2 linked regions of the Macaca mulatta genome follow. The protein of the gene in region 2 interacts with the protein of the main gene of each other region in a pairwise test. Links are inferred from orthologs where the notes say so. Each region holds a gene or a part of one and is shown on either strand. Other genes may lie near its edges. The genes, in order: NKX3-1 and SPDEF.

The links.
Region 1: the proteins of SPDEF (region 2) and NKX3-1 interact in a two-hybrid assay, tested with the Homo sapiens proteins (2 studies listed by BioGRID). The link is inferred for Macaca mulatta from reciprocal best matches to the Homo sapiens genes SPDEF and NKX3-1.

What each region holds. Positions count from the first base shown.
Region 1 is NC_133413.1:25,395,593-25,403,042, forward strand, and holds NKX3-1 (homeobox protein Nkx-3.1), read right to left. Parts: upstream 4,547-7,450; 5' UTR 4,511-4,546; coding exon 4,231-4,510; intron 3,280-4,230; coding exon 2,861-3,279; 3' UTR 1,760-2,860; downstream 1-1,759.
Region 2 is NC_133409.1:147,733,915-147,741,264, forward strand, and holds the end of SPDEF (SAM pointed domain-containing Ets transcription factor), read left to right. Parts: intron 1-167; 5' UTR 168-196; coding exon 197-632; intron 633-3,485; coding exon 3,486-3,683; intron 3,684-5,140; coding exon 5,141-5,188; intron 5,189-5,306; coding exon 5,307-5,453; intron 5,454-6,258; coding exon 6,259-6,437; exon of another isoform or gene 6,438-6,511; 3' UTR 6,512-6,923; downstream 6,924-7,350. UniProt on the Homo sapiens protein: May function as an androgen-independent transactivator of the prostate-specific antigen (PSA) promoter. Binds to 5'-GGAT-3' DNA sequences. May play a role in the regulation of the prostate gland and/or prostate cancer development.

The sequences.
Region 1 (7,450 bases), on a different chromosome or scaffold from region 2:
TGCACCGCATTTTAAAATCTAATCATCTGTTGATGGACACGTAGGTTCAGCCCATGATGTTGCTATTGTGAATAGTGGAACAGTTGATTATTAAACTGAAGAGAGAAAAGGACTTCCTCTCCCCATGACTTAACAGGAATGAAGGACAGTGCATTTATAAAAGGATGGCCATCATTAGCTACTGGGTAGGCTGAGGCTTTCGATCACCATAGGTTGCAACTGGTGTGTCAGGTGGACGAGGGCAAGAGGATATGGTAATTAGAAATATCTAAGTTACACAGCATGTAATTTTTGGGAAACTGAAAATCACACACAGATACATCTAATAAAGACACGGGTACTTTATTTTCAAAACACTCATATGTTGCAAAAAACACATAGAAAAATAAAGTTTGGTGGGGGTGCTGACTAAACTTCAAGTCACAGACTTTTATGTTACAGACTGGAGCATGGTTTGTTATGCATGTAGAGAACCTAAACTAATTTATTAAACAGGATAGAAACAGGCTGTCTGGGTGAAATGGTTCTGAGAACCATGCAGTTCCCCTGTCAGATGCTGATAGACTAGCTCTTCAAATGTTTTTCTGCCAGTTCAGAGATGGGTTAATGACTAGTTCCAACAGGGAAAAAGCAAGATGGATTCACAAGCCAAATAATTTTAAACCAAGACACTTTTTTTTTTTCTTTTTTGCAACACAATATACATCACAGTGAAATGTGGAATCCTTGCAAATTGCAAGTTGAAAGAATTAAATTCAGAGGAGGGGAGAGAAAGAGTACTCAGTAGGGACTGAGCACTATATGCTTATTTTAAAAGAAATGTAAAGAGCAGAAAGCAATTCAGGCTACCCTGCCTTTTGTGCTGGCTAGTACCCCGGTGGGTGTCAGCAGTACATGGCATTGAATATTTCAGTGTGGAGCCCAAACCACTGAAAATGGGGTGAAATTGGCCAACTTTCTATCAACTTATGTTGGCAATTTTGCCACCAACAGTAGATTGGCCCTTTTAATAAAAGAAAATTGAAAGGTTTCTCACTAAATGGAATTAAGTAGTGGAATCAAGAGACTCCCAGGTCTCAGCATACCTCATTAGTAATTGTTTTGTTGTTTCATGTTTTTCTAATGTCTCCCCTCTACCCGGTCACCTGAGATAACAGAATGAAAGTGGAAGGACAGCCAGATTTCTCCTTTGCTCTCTGCTCATTCTCTCTGAAGTCTAGGTTACCCATTTTGGGGACCTATTATAGGCAATAAACACAGTTCCCAAAGCGTTTGGACAGTTTCTTGCTGTGTTTTAAAATGGGTTTCCCTTTTCTTAGCCTTTTCCTGCAAAAGGCTCACTCGGTCCCTTGTTTGCTCAGTGAACTGCGCTCCCCAGGGCCTAGGCTGCCTTCTTTTCCATGACTCCGCCCATGAGCCCTCCACTGGACAGCTCAGTGAGCCTGGCCCTTCATTCTGCACTGTGTTCTTCCTTCTCTATGAAAATCCAATACCTCTTACCTCCTCTGCATGCAAAGATTCTCAAGGATTGTCAGACTTCAAACGTAACAGCAGAACCACCAGAAGGTCCTATAAATGTAGCAGTGACCTTCTCAAGCTGTCAGGTATTTAAATAGGATTTGGGATTTAATGCTATATATTTTTAAAGGAAAGAAATAAGAGTTGCTAGTTTTAAAAATGCATGTCTTTTAGCCAATTCAGAATCTGCCCCCAACCTTTTTTTTTAAAAACTCAAGACAGATAAAGCTTTGGGGAGAGGAAAAAAAAAAAAAAAAAAAAAAAAAAGACCAGATCTCGGGATCTTGGGCTAAATACGTGAGGCATAAGTTAGGTGCAGCCAGACTAAAAGTCTGGACTAAAATGAAGCCCTTTAGTGAGTAATTGCTGCAAAAAAGGAACAAAAAATTGTAAAAGGAGGGAAGGAAGAAATATGTTGCCTCTGAGGATACAGTATATATGATAGCCTGAAAACTCCAGGAAACTTCTGATTCTAAATTCTCCAGTCTGGGAGAAAAAAGTTGAGGAGAGTCCTTTCCACTTTCTGCTAACAAAAAACGCAACAGTCCCGAGCAGCAGTGTGGAGACCCTCCTTAGGCTCCTGTCTTGGACATGTGGAGATTCTCCTGGCACGGCCCCACCTCTTGCAGTGGAGTTCTGTTTATACAGCTTGTCTTAAAATCACAGCCAGTGCATCTTGTTCTATTTGGGCCACTCTGTAAATACTTAAGTTGGCATACCATTTTAAAAGGAATAAAAAGGAATAAGAAGCAGCTGATATTTTCATCTCCTCCCACCCATCTCCCCCTCCCATGCAAATGTGTGCTAAGCATGAGGGTGTTCTCTTGGAGACCCTCTATTTGCCCCACTCTTTTACAGGGACAGAGAGAGCCTTGGCCATATTCCAAGGCCAACAGGAGGCTTCTGGACTTAAGTTTAATTCAGTTGGTGACATCCTCGTCCTGGCTGTCCTTTCTCCCGTTAGGTTTGCTCTTTCAGAGTTGATATTCAGTGACACAGGAGGATGGAGTTGTAGAACAGAATCCTCACGTGTACAGTTCCTCCAAAATCATGCAAAGAGCTGAGAACAGCACTTGATTTTCCCTCTCTCCCCTTCAAACAGGTAGCCAGAAGCAAAAAAATGACCTACAGTATGCACTGGGGGACAGACTTAGATATTAAAACGTTCACTGTCTCTGTTGTTTCATTGTCTCAGTAGTGAAGATGTGAGATTTCCACAGAAATCTCCAATAGCTTTGTTGCGCACACCTCTTGCTCCCTGACCTTGGCCCCTTGTGCTTTTCATAGCCACACCCTGGGGAAAGCAGTTTTTGATCATACATGGTTGTCACCTGAGCTGGCATTACCAAAAAGCTGGGCTCCAGCTGCCCACGCAGTACAGGTATGGGTAGTAAGGATAGTTGTTATACAAGGAGACCAGGGAGGCCCGGGAGAAGGCCTCCTCTTTCAGAGCCGGCAAAGAGGAGTGCTTCTCCAAGTCTCCCAGCTCCGAGGAGAGCTGCTTTCTCTTAGTCTTATAGCGTCTGTTCTGGAACCATATCTTCACTTGGGTCTCCGTGAGCTTGAGGTTCTTGGCCAGGTGGGCCCGTTCAGGGGCCGACAGGTACTTCTGATGGCTGAACTTCCTCTCCAACTCGATCACCTGAGTGTGGGAGAAAGCAGCTCGAGAGCGCTTCTGCGGCTGCTTAGGGGTTTGGGGGAGGCTTGGAAGGGAGCCTGAAGTGTTTTCACAGTCCAACAGATAAGACCCCAAGTGCCTTTCTGGAAAGGACAGCGGGGAAAGAGGGATGGGAAGACAAAAGTTACATGTTAGCAGGGAAGAGAACAGAATTCAATCCACCCTTATCTCTTTAGTGAGTGAACAAACAGCCCACTGTCATCGTGGATACATTTCACTTTTTTCACATGACTAAGGAGCTCTCCGGAGTGAAGAGTGAGTAAATATGTTTATAACCTATTCATTTTCTAAGAATCATTAAGAACCCAAAGTTAGAGATGTTTCGTGGTTGAACGTTCTCCCTATTGTCTAGTAGAATTAGATGGGGATTCTGGATCTGTGTGCTGAGGAGAGGCAGGAGAGGGAGGCAGGGAAGACAGAGGAACAAGACACCCGGGAAGGCCGGACCAAAAGGCATCCGGTGTTAGGACTCAGGTGGGCAAGAAAGGGCTTGTGCCACGGGAGACGCAGAGGCAGGCTCATTCTGGGCTTTAATTCCGTCTTCACTAAACTAGGCGTTCAGTCGCCTCATCAGAAGTGACAGGGAAGAAAATAACTCTTTCCTGGAGGGAACCCAAAATGTACCGCTTTACTGCCCACGGGATTGGGAAGCACACGGAGGCTTTCCTGGTCAACCCCTACTTTGTCACTATTAATAAGTTATCATTAGTTCTCGTAACTACCGTGGGGCTGGCGCCGATCGCGGGTGGCACGGGGCGGGATCCGCTCCCGGGACGGTGGAGGGCGGTGGCGCTGCGGTCGCGCCGGCTTCTGAGCCCCGGGGAGCGGAGGGCACGGAGCCGGGAGAGTCCTGCCGTGTCAGAATCCTGCGCCGCCCTGACGCTGGGGCTCAGGGTTCATCCCCGGGGCGCGCGCGCGTGGCTGCGGAGGCGGGGAGTTCCCTCTGCCTGAGGCCGCGGGGCCCCGCGTCCCTGCACCGCAAGCTCTGGGGGGTCCACCTTAGGCTGCCCTCGGGTCCCGGCCTCGCCGCTTACCTGGCTCCGTCTCCGCCAGCGTCTCGGCCTCCTCCGGCGCGGCGCGGGGCCTGGGGCTCAGCTGGTCGTTCTGTACCCCGGCGGGGCCGCGTCCTCCCTCCGGCTCTGGCTCTGGCTCCGGGTCGCGCCGTCTCGGGCTGTCCGTGTGGCCGCCTCGCCGCTGCGCGCCGTCCCGCAGGATGTCCTGGATGAGGAAGGACGTGAGCGGCTTGGACGGGGTTGGCGGCGCGGCCCCCTCCGCTTTCGCCTCCCCGGGCAGCGGCTCCGTAGCCCTGAGCATCCCGGCTGCCCCGCTCTGGCCTCGCTGCGCCAGCCCGCACAGCTTTCACTTTCCACCTCCCAGCGCGCTTATAGCCCCGGGGGAAGCGCGCCGCGCCGCCCTCCCATTGGCCGCGGGACGGGCCGCGCCGCGGATTGGCCGCCCTGCGCTCCAGGTGACGCCGCGGAACGGGAAGGCCTGACCACGAGCCGGCTCCGCTCCTCCCTAGGGGATTCCTTCCCCAGTTCCCTCTCCTTCCCCAATTCCCTATCCTTCACCCAGCTCTCCTCCCTCCGCCCTGAGCCGTTTTCCCAGGTCGGGAGCGCACCCCAAAGCTGGGCTCCTCTGCCCCAACCCACCCGCAACAGAAGTTGAGAAGCTCATGGGGATGGGATGACCAAGACGAACACTCCAGTTAGCTCTTCAGGACGGTCAGAGCCAATCACACGGGGTGAGCACGCAGTCACTGCAGCCGCACGGTACTGTGAGAGTTCTGGATGCTTTCTCTCTCTGGGAGAGATGGTGGCAAACTTAGATCTGCAATATCTAAGATCTCAAAGAGGCATGACAAGTAGGTGCAGCCTGACCCCAGGCTGAAAGAAGGAAACCATATTTGCCAAAGCCTTTTCCCATTGCACAAGTGGTTTTCTTTGGTGGTTCCTTTATCCGCAATAACCTATTAACTTTCCTTCCTTCCCAGACACATGACATACCATCCTTTTGAAAAGTTTCCAGAAGGATGGAAGGCGTTTTAGGCCAGGATAGGCGCAAAAACTGCATTTAAAAAAGTAGTTCAAAAGAACATCAGCATACTCTTTTTCCACATTACCAACTGTTAACATTTAACCCATTGGCTAAACAATGGGTTAGCTTAATTGGACCAGCTGGTACTGTGATTGGACTGGACGGTACCGTGACACGGACGAAAGTGGAACATAGATGATAGAAGTATTTTCTTTCCTTGGCTTTTGCCTTCTTTTTCTACGGACAGGATCTCCCTCTGCCGCCCAGGCTGGAGTGCAGTGATGCCATCATAGCTCAGTGCAGCCTCGATTTCCTGGATTCAAGTGATCCTCCTGCCTTGGCCTCTCAAAGTGCTAGGACTACAGGCGTGAGTCTCAGCGTCAGGACGATGGTGGAAGTATTGAATTAATGTTAAATTTACTGAAGTTGTACACTGTACTGTCAGTGTATAAGATAATATTTTTAGGAAATTAACACTGAAGTGTGTAGGAGCAAAGGCACAAGATCTACGAAACTTACATCAAATGGTTCTGAAACAAGGATGCAGTTAGATCCCACACCATAAAGCCAATGGGTTAAATGGTAACAGTTGGTAATCTGGAAAAAGGGTAGGCTGATTTTTTTTTAACCATTTTTTTTTTTTTAATGCGACATTTTTGTCTGTCCTGGTCTAAGATGCCTTCCATTCCACTGGCAACTTTTCAAAAGGATGGTATGTCATGTGTCTCTGGAGGAAGGAAAGTTAATAGGTTATTGCTGATAAAGCGGCCGCCGAAGAAAACTACCTGTGCAATGGGAAAGACTTTGGCAAAGCTGGTTTTCTTCTCTTATCTTTTCAAAGTCTCTTTATATTAGAACATTCTTTAATGTTTTCTTTTGAATCGTTGTAGATTCACAGGAAGTTGTCCTCCAATGACATTTTATACAACTGTAGGACAATGTAGAAAACAGGAAATTTACATTGGGACATTACAGTTAACTAGACTACAGACTTTTTATTTATTTATGTATTTATTTAGAGTAGGGTCTTGCTCTGTTGCCCAGGCTGGAGTGCAGTGGAGGGATCATGGCTCACTGCAACTTCAAACTCCTGGACTCAAGAGATTCTCCCACCTCACCCTCCTGAACAGCTGGGACTACAGGTGTGTGCCACCCTGCTCAGCCAATTTTTACATTTTTTGTGAAGATGAGGTTTCACCTTGTTGCCCAGGCTGGTCTCAAAGCCCTTGGCTCAAACAATCCTGCCTCCACCTCCCAAAGTGCTGGGACTACAGGTGTGAACCACTGTGCCTGGCTTTATTGTGGTTTAAATTTTTAATTTGCATTTCACAAATGCCTAGAGATGTTGAATACCTTGTCATGTGCTTGTTTGCCATCCATATTTCCTCTGTAGTGAAATATCTGTTCAAGCCTTTTGCTCGTATTATAATTGAATTTTCTTTCTTTTTTTTTTTTAACTATTGAGTTGTGATAATTCTTTATATATTGCTGTATGTAAGTATTTGTCTGATAGGTGATTTGCAAATATTATCTCCCAGTCTGTAGCTTGTGTTTCCATCCCTCTAACAGGATCTTCAACAGAACAAAAGATTTTAATTTCATTGAAGATCAATTTATGAATTTTTGAATTTTACAGAATGTGATTTTGATGTCCTGCCTAAGAACTCTTTACTTAGTCCTAATACTGAAGATTTGCTCCTATGTTATCTTCTAAAAGTTTTATGCTTTACTCTTAAATCCATGATTCATTCAGAAGTAATTTTTGTATATAGTGTGAGGTTTAGATTGAGATGGCCTCCTTTCATTTTTAAAATTGAGAGTTGGGTGTGAATTATTTAATAAAAAGTGCTGCCATTTGGAAATATAAAGTCCTATTCTTATGACAAAATAAATTCCAGACAGCTCAAAGATGTAAAACACAAACAAGCACGTGAAAAAATAATTTTAACTACACTTCATCAGTGAAGGAATGCAAATCAAAATCACATTGAGGCAAACCTTTTCCACCTTTCAGACTGACAAAGGTTGAAAGAAAATGGATAATGTCCAGTGTAGAGCATGGAGGAACAGCTGCTATCATAAGGTCATGCCCTGCATCGTGACGTTTGGTCAGTGACAGACAGCATATATGATGGTGATTCCATAAGGTTATAATACTCTATTTTTACTGTACCTTTTTATGTTTAGATATGTTTACATGCACAAATTCTTACCATT
Region 2 (7,350 bases):
AGGCCTGTCTGCCCAACCATGTCCTGGCTGCCCAGTGACCCGGAAGCCCCGAACTCTGTCCCAGGCCCAGCCCACTGTCCACAGGGCCCCTCATCCCCATAACCAGCTTAGCGGCCCCCACAGGGATGGAGAAGCCATCAAACCTGAGTCCTCTTTCATTTCCGTAGACACAGCCGCCAGCCCGAACAGCAGCGGCATGGGCAGCGCCAGCCCGGGTCTGAGCAGCGTGTCCCCCAGCCACCTCCTGCTGCCCCCCGACACAGTGTCGCGGACAGGCTTGGAGAAGGTGGCAGCGGGGGCAGTGGGTCTCGAGAGACGGGACTGGAGTCCCAGTCCACCCGCCACACCCGAGCAGGGCCTGTCCGCCTTCTACCTCTCCTACTTTGACATGCTGTACTCCGAGGACAGCAGCTGGGCAGCCAAGGTGCCTGGGGCCAGCAGTAGGGAGGAGCCACCTGAGGAGCCTGAGCAGTGCCCGGTCATTGACAGCCAAGCCCCAGGGGGCAGCCTGGACTTGGCGCCCAGCGGGCTGACCTTGGAGGAGCACTCACTGGAGCAGGTGCAGTCCATGGTGGTGGGCGAAGTGCTCAAGGACATCGAGACGGCCTGCAAGCTGCTCAACATCACCGCAGGTGAGCCCTCTCCCTGTGCCCGCTTCCGTAAGAGGGGTCGCAGGCAAGGCTGAGGTTGCTGGGGTGGGTGGGGGTACTGCTGGATGGACTCTGGCCACCTCTGGCCCAGCCACGGGCAACTTCAGGGATGCTGGCACTTCTACACACAGTCAGCTGTGAGCCAGGGCTGGGAAGGTTTCTATCCATCTCTAGTGTCCCAACCATGCCAGCCTAGTGTCCCCGCTGGTAGGTGCTGAATGATATGAATTCAAGCTCTGTGCCCCCCCACCTCCTCTTGGACTCCGCTCTCCCCTCATTCACTCTGCTCCAGCCACACTGGCCTCTTTGTTCCCACAACACTCACTACGCTGCTGCTTCTTCAGCCTAGAACGCTCTTCCCCCAAATATCTGCGTGGCTCACTTCCTTCAGGTCTTGGCTCAGATGGCACCATCCGCCTGAGGCCTTCCCTGACCCCTCCATTAAAATTGCTGCCCATGAGCACAGGACATGGTAAAGAAAACAAACAAAAAATGGAAAAAAAAAAAAAAAGAAAAAGAAAAAAGAAAGAAGAAAAATTTCTAAAATTTCTGCCCACACCCCTACCTCCTGTTCCCACCTGCTTCCTCTCATAGCACTTACTCTCCTCAGTCGTGCTGCACCATATCTATTGACCTCGCTCACTCTCTGTGTCCTCTACTGGAATGTACACTCCACAAAGGCAGGGATTTTCATGTGTTTTGTTCATCACTCCATCCCCAGATGCTAGGATAGCACCTTGAACATAATTGATGCTCAATAAACAGTTGTTCAATAAGAAGCATTTCTTCCTCCTTCTTCCTTCTTCCTTCTTTCTGAGACGGAGTCTCGCTCTGTCGCCCAGGCTGGAGTGCAATGGCGCAATCTTGGCTCACTGCAAGCTCTGCCTCTGGGGTTCATGCAATTCTCCTGCCTCAGCCTCCCGAATAGCTGGGACTACAGGTGCCCGCCACCACGCCCAGTTAATTTTTGTATTTTTAGTAGAGACGAGGTTTCACCGTGTTAGCCAGGATGGTCTCCATCCCCTGACCTCGTGATCCGCCCACCTCGGCCTCCCAGAGTGCTGGGATTACAGGCCTGAGCTACCGCGCCCGGCCTCTTTTTTTTTTTTTTTTTTTTTGACAGGATCTCCGCTCTATCACCAAGACTGGAGTGCAGTGGCGTGATCTCAGTTCACTGCCACCTCCGCCTCTGGGTTCAAGTGTTCTCCTGCCTCAGCCTCCTGAGTAGCTGGGATTACAGGTGCCCACCACCACACCCAGCTAATTTTTGTATTTTTAGTAGAGACGGGGGTATCACCATGTTGGCCAGGCTGGTCTCGAACTTCTGACCTCAGGTGATCTGTCTGCCTTGACCTCCCAAAGTGCTGGGATTACAGGCATGAGCTGCCTCTCTGGGCCAAAAAGCAGTTCCTAATATGCCAAGCCTTATTCTAGGACTGGGGAATTGAGTGGTGAACAGAACACAAAGTCCCTGTGTTTGTAGGGCTGACATTATAGTGAGGGAAACAGATCACAAATAAATAGAGAAATGTGTCACTGGTCTGGTGGGATGGAAGGCCCTGATGAGGAGGGGACGTCCCAGGGCCTGGCATACATGTGTCTATCAGCCAGACCTGGAAGGCGTGATTATGGAGCTGATGCTGTGGGCGGGGGGGTTGCTGAGTCTCTAGTCCTCTGTCCTGCCGTCACCTCTCCAGCTTCAGGCAGGCCTGACCCATGTCCCTCGGTCTTCAGGCCCTGACATTGCAGCACTCAACTCTGTGCACCTTTCCCTGGGAAGCAGGGGTCTTCATGCATTCCTCAGGCCTGGTCCCTGTCCCCAAAGCTGCCCCGTTGATGTCCTCATTTGAAGCTGCTCCTGCCGATGCCCCAGTCCTCCAGTTTCCCAATGCCCATGCCAGGCCGACTCCAGGAGTTCTCCCACAGGCCTCCTCCCCACCCACAGGGCTAGGGAGGGGAGGGCCCTGCTCCCTGAACAATGGGAACAGGAACAAATGGCTTTGACCTCGGGGAGGAAAATGGGCTTATTAAGTGGGGGCAGCCCAGCCTGCAGGTCACTCAGCTGGGACACTGGCTGGACCATGGTGTTCACTTGGAGGCCCTATTGTGACCATGCCCACCAGCCTATCCCCCACCTGTAGGCCTATGAGGCTCACCTCAGAGGAACACCCTAGGGGGATATCTAGGACCTAGCCGAGGGCTCCCGTCCTGGCCTCTGGGGCCTGTGGCTGCCCCATGACCATCCTGTGCCCTGCATTTACTTATTTAACACATGCACGGAGCAGCTCCTGTGTGTCCAGCCCTTTATTCCGTGGAGGACAAGGGGATAGAGTGCCCTGTGCCTCAGTTTCCTTATCTGTAAGATACAGGGGCTGGAGGGAATGGTGGGGCTCTAAGACTAATTCCCAGATGGGTGTTTCTCTGGTTCCTTGAGGGGTTTGGGAAAGGCAAGAAGTACCTGATGGAGAAGCCCAGGTGTTTCCGGTAGAGTGTCACTGTCCCTCCGGGGCTGGGGCTCCCTCGAAAGGTCCTTTGGAGAGGCTGGAGGGATCTGGGAGGACCCAAGGCCTGAGTGAGGCAGGAAGTACAGATGCACCAGGTTACCCTGCCCTGAACCAAGTTCATTTTTTAGGGCCCTGGTTCCTTCCTCTCGCCCCAATCTCTTCTTGGGTACCCACTTCCACAGGGGCCCTCAGGGGCTGACCTACCTCCACCCCCAGGAGCACAAGGTCTCAGGCCACAGGTTCCCGTGGGTGCCCCATCACAGCAGGGGGGGCTGTATTTGGGGTGGTGCTCTCAGGCTGCCCCTGAGCTGAGGGGATGCCTCTTGCCCAGATCCCGTGGACTGGAGTCCCGGCAATGTGCAGAAGTGGCTCCTGTGGACAGAGCACCAATACCGGCTGCCCCCTGTGGGCAAGGCGTTCCAGGAGCTGGCGGGCAAGGAGCTGTGCGCCATGTCGGAGGAGCAGTTCCGCCAGCGCTCGCCCCTGGGTGGGGATGTGCTGCACGCCCACCTGGACATCTGGAAGTCAGGTAGGATGTGGCGTGGGTGGGAGCAGCCCCTCCCAGGCTCCAAGCCAGGGACAGGATGCTGGCCAGGAGTTTGCCCTCTGCTGGGGCAGCAGCCCCTTGGCCCCCAGCTGGACTCCACTCTGAATCTCAGCCCCAGTTTCAGCTGCCTCCTGGATCCTGGTGCACTCCTCACCCCAACCCACTCCCAGTCCTGGTCAAGGCCCCAGAGCTTTGGGACAGAGCACCCGGGAGGTTAAAAGGTAGAAGTCAGACTGTGAGGATGCAGGGTGTCAGAGCTGGGGACAACCGTGGACGCTAGGAAGTCCTTTTTCCTTTTAAAATTTTGTTTTCCTTTGTTTTTGTTTGTTTGTTTGTTTGTTTATTAAATAAGTAATAAACGTGCATGTTATAAAATAGACCATAGTGAAAAGTAGTGTACCATAAACAGTTTCTCCCTCCTGCTCCCGACCCCCAGCTTCCAACCCCCTCCCTAGAGGCAACCACTTTTACCAGTTTCTTGAGTATCTCTCCAGGGAAAGTCTATGAATATTCAAGCACATATACATATATGCAGTTCTTCTTCTTCTTATATTTTTTTGACATAAATAGTAGCAGAGTATTACACTGCTCTGCATACCACAGTATGTCTTGGTATTAAAAACACAGTATGTCTTTAATTTTATACTCTGCTAAAATTAAAGTGGCCCTGCTTTAATTTTAGTTTTTGTTTTTTGAGACAGGGTCTTACTCTGTTGCCCAGGCTGGAGTACAGTGGCACAGTCACAGCTCACTGTAGCCTCGACTTCCCGGTTTCACTGGATCCTCCCACCCCAATCTCCTGAGTAGCTGAGTCTACAGGTGCACCACCACACTGCTCACTTTTGTATTTTTTGGTAGAGACGGGTTTTCACCATGTTGGCCAGGCTGGTCTCAAACTCCTGGGCTCGAGCAGTCCACCCACCTCGGCCTCCTGAAGTGCTGGGACTACAGGCGTGAGCCTCCGGGCCCGGCCTGCCCTAAGTTTCTAATGGCTGCGTGTCAGCCCCTGAGTGTCTAAATTGTCTCAATCTCATTGGGCACCCACTGCTGCCTGCACAGGGCCGGGTGCTTTGGAGGAGATGGTGCCTGCTCGATGAGTCAAGGAGTAAGAAGTAGGGCCCACTCATATGACCCTGTCAGAGACCAGTGCCCTGCCCCAGCCCCGGCAAGCCCCCATGTCAGATGTCCTCATCTGAACAAGCGGATGCGTGCAAGCCCTCTATGGCCCCTCCCAGCGCTGAAATCCTGAATTTTCGTCCAGGAAGCAGCTTCTTGTAACCAGCTTGCCTCCCCAGGTTGGCAGGAGGCAGGGACTGTGGCAGGGAGCCTCAGGGGCAACCCCCAGCCACAAAGGGGCTCCTGTGGCCCCACAGTCCCACCCAAACGCCTCCCCTCCTCCACCTCTCCTGGGTCCCCAACCCCCTCTCCTTGCCCTGCAGCGGCCTGGATGAAAGAGCGGACTTCACCTGGGGCGATTCACTACTGCGGTGAGCCAGGCAGGGGCAGGGCGGGGGCGGGGGCTCGGGTAGGGTGGAGGGGTGGCTGCCACTGAAGCAGGGACTGGCCTCCCCTTCCCACTCACTGCCCCCCTCCCTGGCCACCCAGCCTCGACCAGTGAGGAGAGCTGGACCGACAGCGAGGTGGACTCGTCATGCTCCGGGCAGCCCATCCACCTGTGGCAGTTCCTCAAGGAGCTGCTACTCAAGCCCCACAGCTATGGCCGCTTCATTAGGTGGCTCAACAAGGAGAAGGGTGAGCAGGGTGCCCAAGGGGCACTGCAGGGCCAGTGAGCATGGAGGTTGTGGGGGCTTCTGCCAGGCACTGTGCATGGGGGCAGGGGCGGGCAGAGGGGGGAAGCTGATCTCCACCTTTGTCCTGGATGCCAAATACACAGCTTTCATGAGATGGCCCTGGGGGGTCTGTGTGCAATTTGTGTCCATATCTGTCTCCTGCTAGACTCTGTCTCACTTAGGAGCTTAGTACAGCACAGCTCCTGGAACGAGCTCCAAATCGACTCTCCCTCCACCGTCTCGTATTAATTAATCCCGCCAGAAAGGGCTGCGCAGGCCAAAACTGCCTGGGAATAGCAAAGATGTTGTTTCAGGCTTGGGAACTACAGGGACACCTGTAATGGGGGAGGAGTGCTCTTGCCAAGTGAGCTGTGGGCACTGCTGGGAGCCACACAGGACTTTGGATTAGGGCACGCAAACCCCACACAGGAGCAGGGGCTGGCAAGGGCCAGGCCCGCAGGGCCCCAGAGAACCCACTAAGGTACACAGACTCAACTGTGCCGGGAGGTTTGTGACTCCAGAGTATTCTCTGCCATTCACTGGGGCCTGTGGCACCTGCTTTGCACACATCTCTTTAACCCTCACCACTACTGCACCTTGGGAGTAAGCATTCGGGTCCCTGGTCACCCCGCCCCACCCGAGCAGAAGGAGGCCTCTGCACAGGGTCTCTTGGTTCGCCCCGAGGCTGACCTGGTGGTCTGCGTCTTTCTCCTTCCTGCCGACTCACTCATACCGCTGGCTCTCTCGGGGCCCTCCTACTCTTCCAGGCATCTTCAAAATTGAGGACTCAGCCCAGGTGGCCCGGCTGTGGGGCATCCGCAAGAATCGTCCCGCCATGAACTATGACAAGCTAAGCCGCTCCATCCGCCAGTATTACAAGAAGGGCATCATCCGGAAGCCAGACATCTCCCAGCGCCTCGTCTACCAGTTCGTGCACCCCATCTGAGTGCCCGGCCCAGGGCCTAAAACCCGCCCTCCGGGGCCTCCCTCCTGCCTGTCCTGCCTCAGCCAGGCCCTGAGCTGGGGGAAAATGGGCAGTCTGCTCTGCTGCTCTGACCTTCCAGAGCCCAAGGTCAGGGAGAGGCGGCCCGCTGCTCTCAGGGGGAGATGGGCCTTCTGGGGCCTTCGGGACCCCAGGGCAGGGGTGCTTCCTCCTCAGGCCCAGCTGCTCCCCTGGAGGACAGAGGGAGCCAGGACTGCTCCCCAACAAAGGACCCCTCTACCTGCCTCTGACCCCAGCATTTCCAGAGCAGAGCCTACAGAAGGGCAGTGACTCAGCGAAGGCCACAGGCAGCCCAGGGCTCTCTCTGCTCCATCCCCCTGCCTCCCAATCCGCACCACGCCTGGCATGGTGCAGGGAGACGTCTGCACCCCTGAGTTAGGGAGCCAGGAGTGCCCCCGGGAATGGATAATAAAGATACTAGAGAACTGACATGTCCCCAGTGTCTGCGCAGTGAATGGCACAGCCCCGAGGTCATCAATGGTCAAGTGTGGTTGTGGTCACAGGGCCTGGAGTAGTCAAGGGAGGCTTTCTGGAGGAGGCGGCTTTGGGCTGAGCCTAAAGGGAAAGGGATAATTGACTGGTAGATGCTTCTGGGAGAGAGATAGTGAGGCTTCAAAGTCAAGGAGGGGCTAGAACAGCCACCTTATCTTCCCTATCCCTGTTCGGGCTGAGAGGCGGGTGGTAAGGCTGGTGTTAAAGAGGTTCTTCATGCAGGACCCGAATGGGGAAGGTATCTTTCGCATCCTTTTGCTCTGTTGCAGAGCAGGGCTTTGCAGCTAACAGGGTGGAAGAGAGGTTGGTTGGCTCCCGTTTCTGTTTCCTGAAGGCCTCAGCAGTACCGTCTGTGAAGATGTGA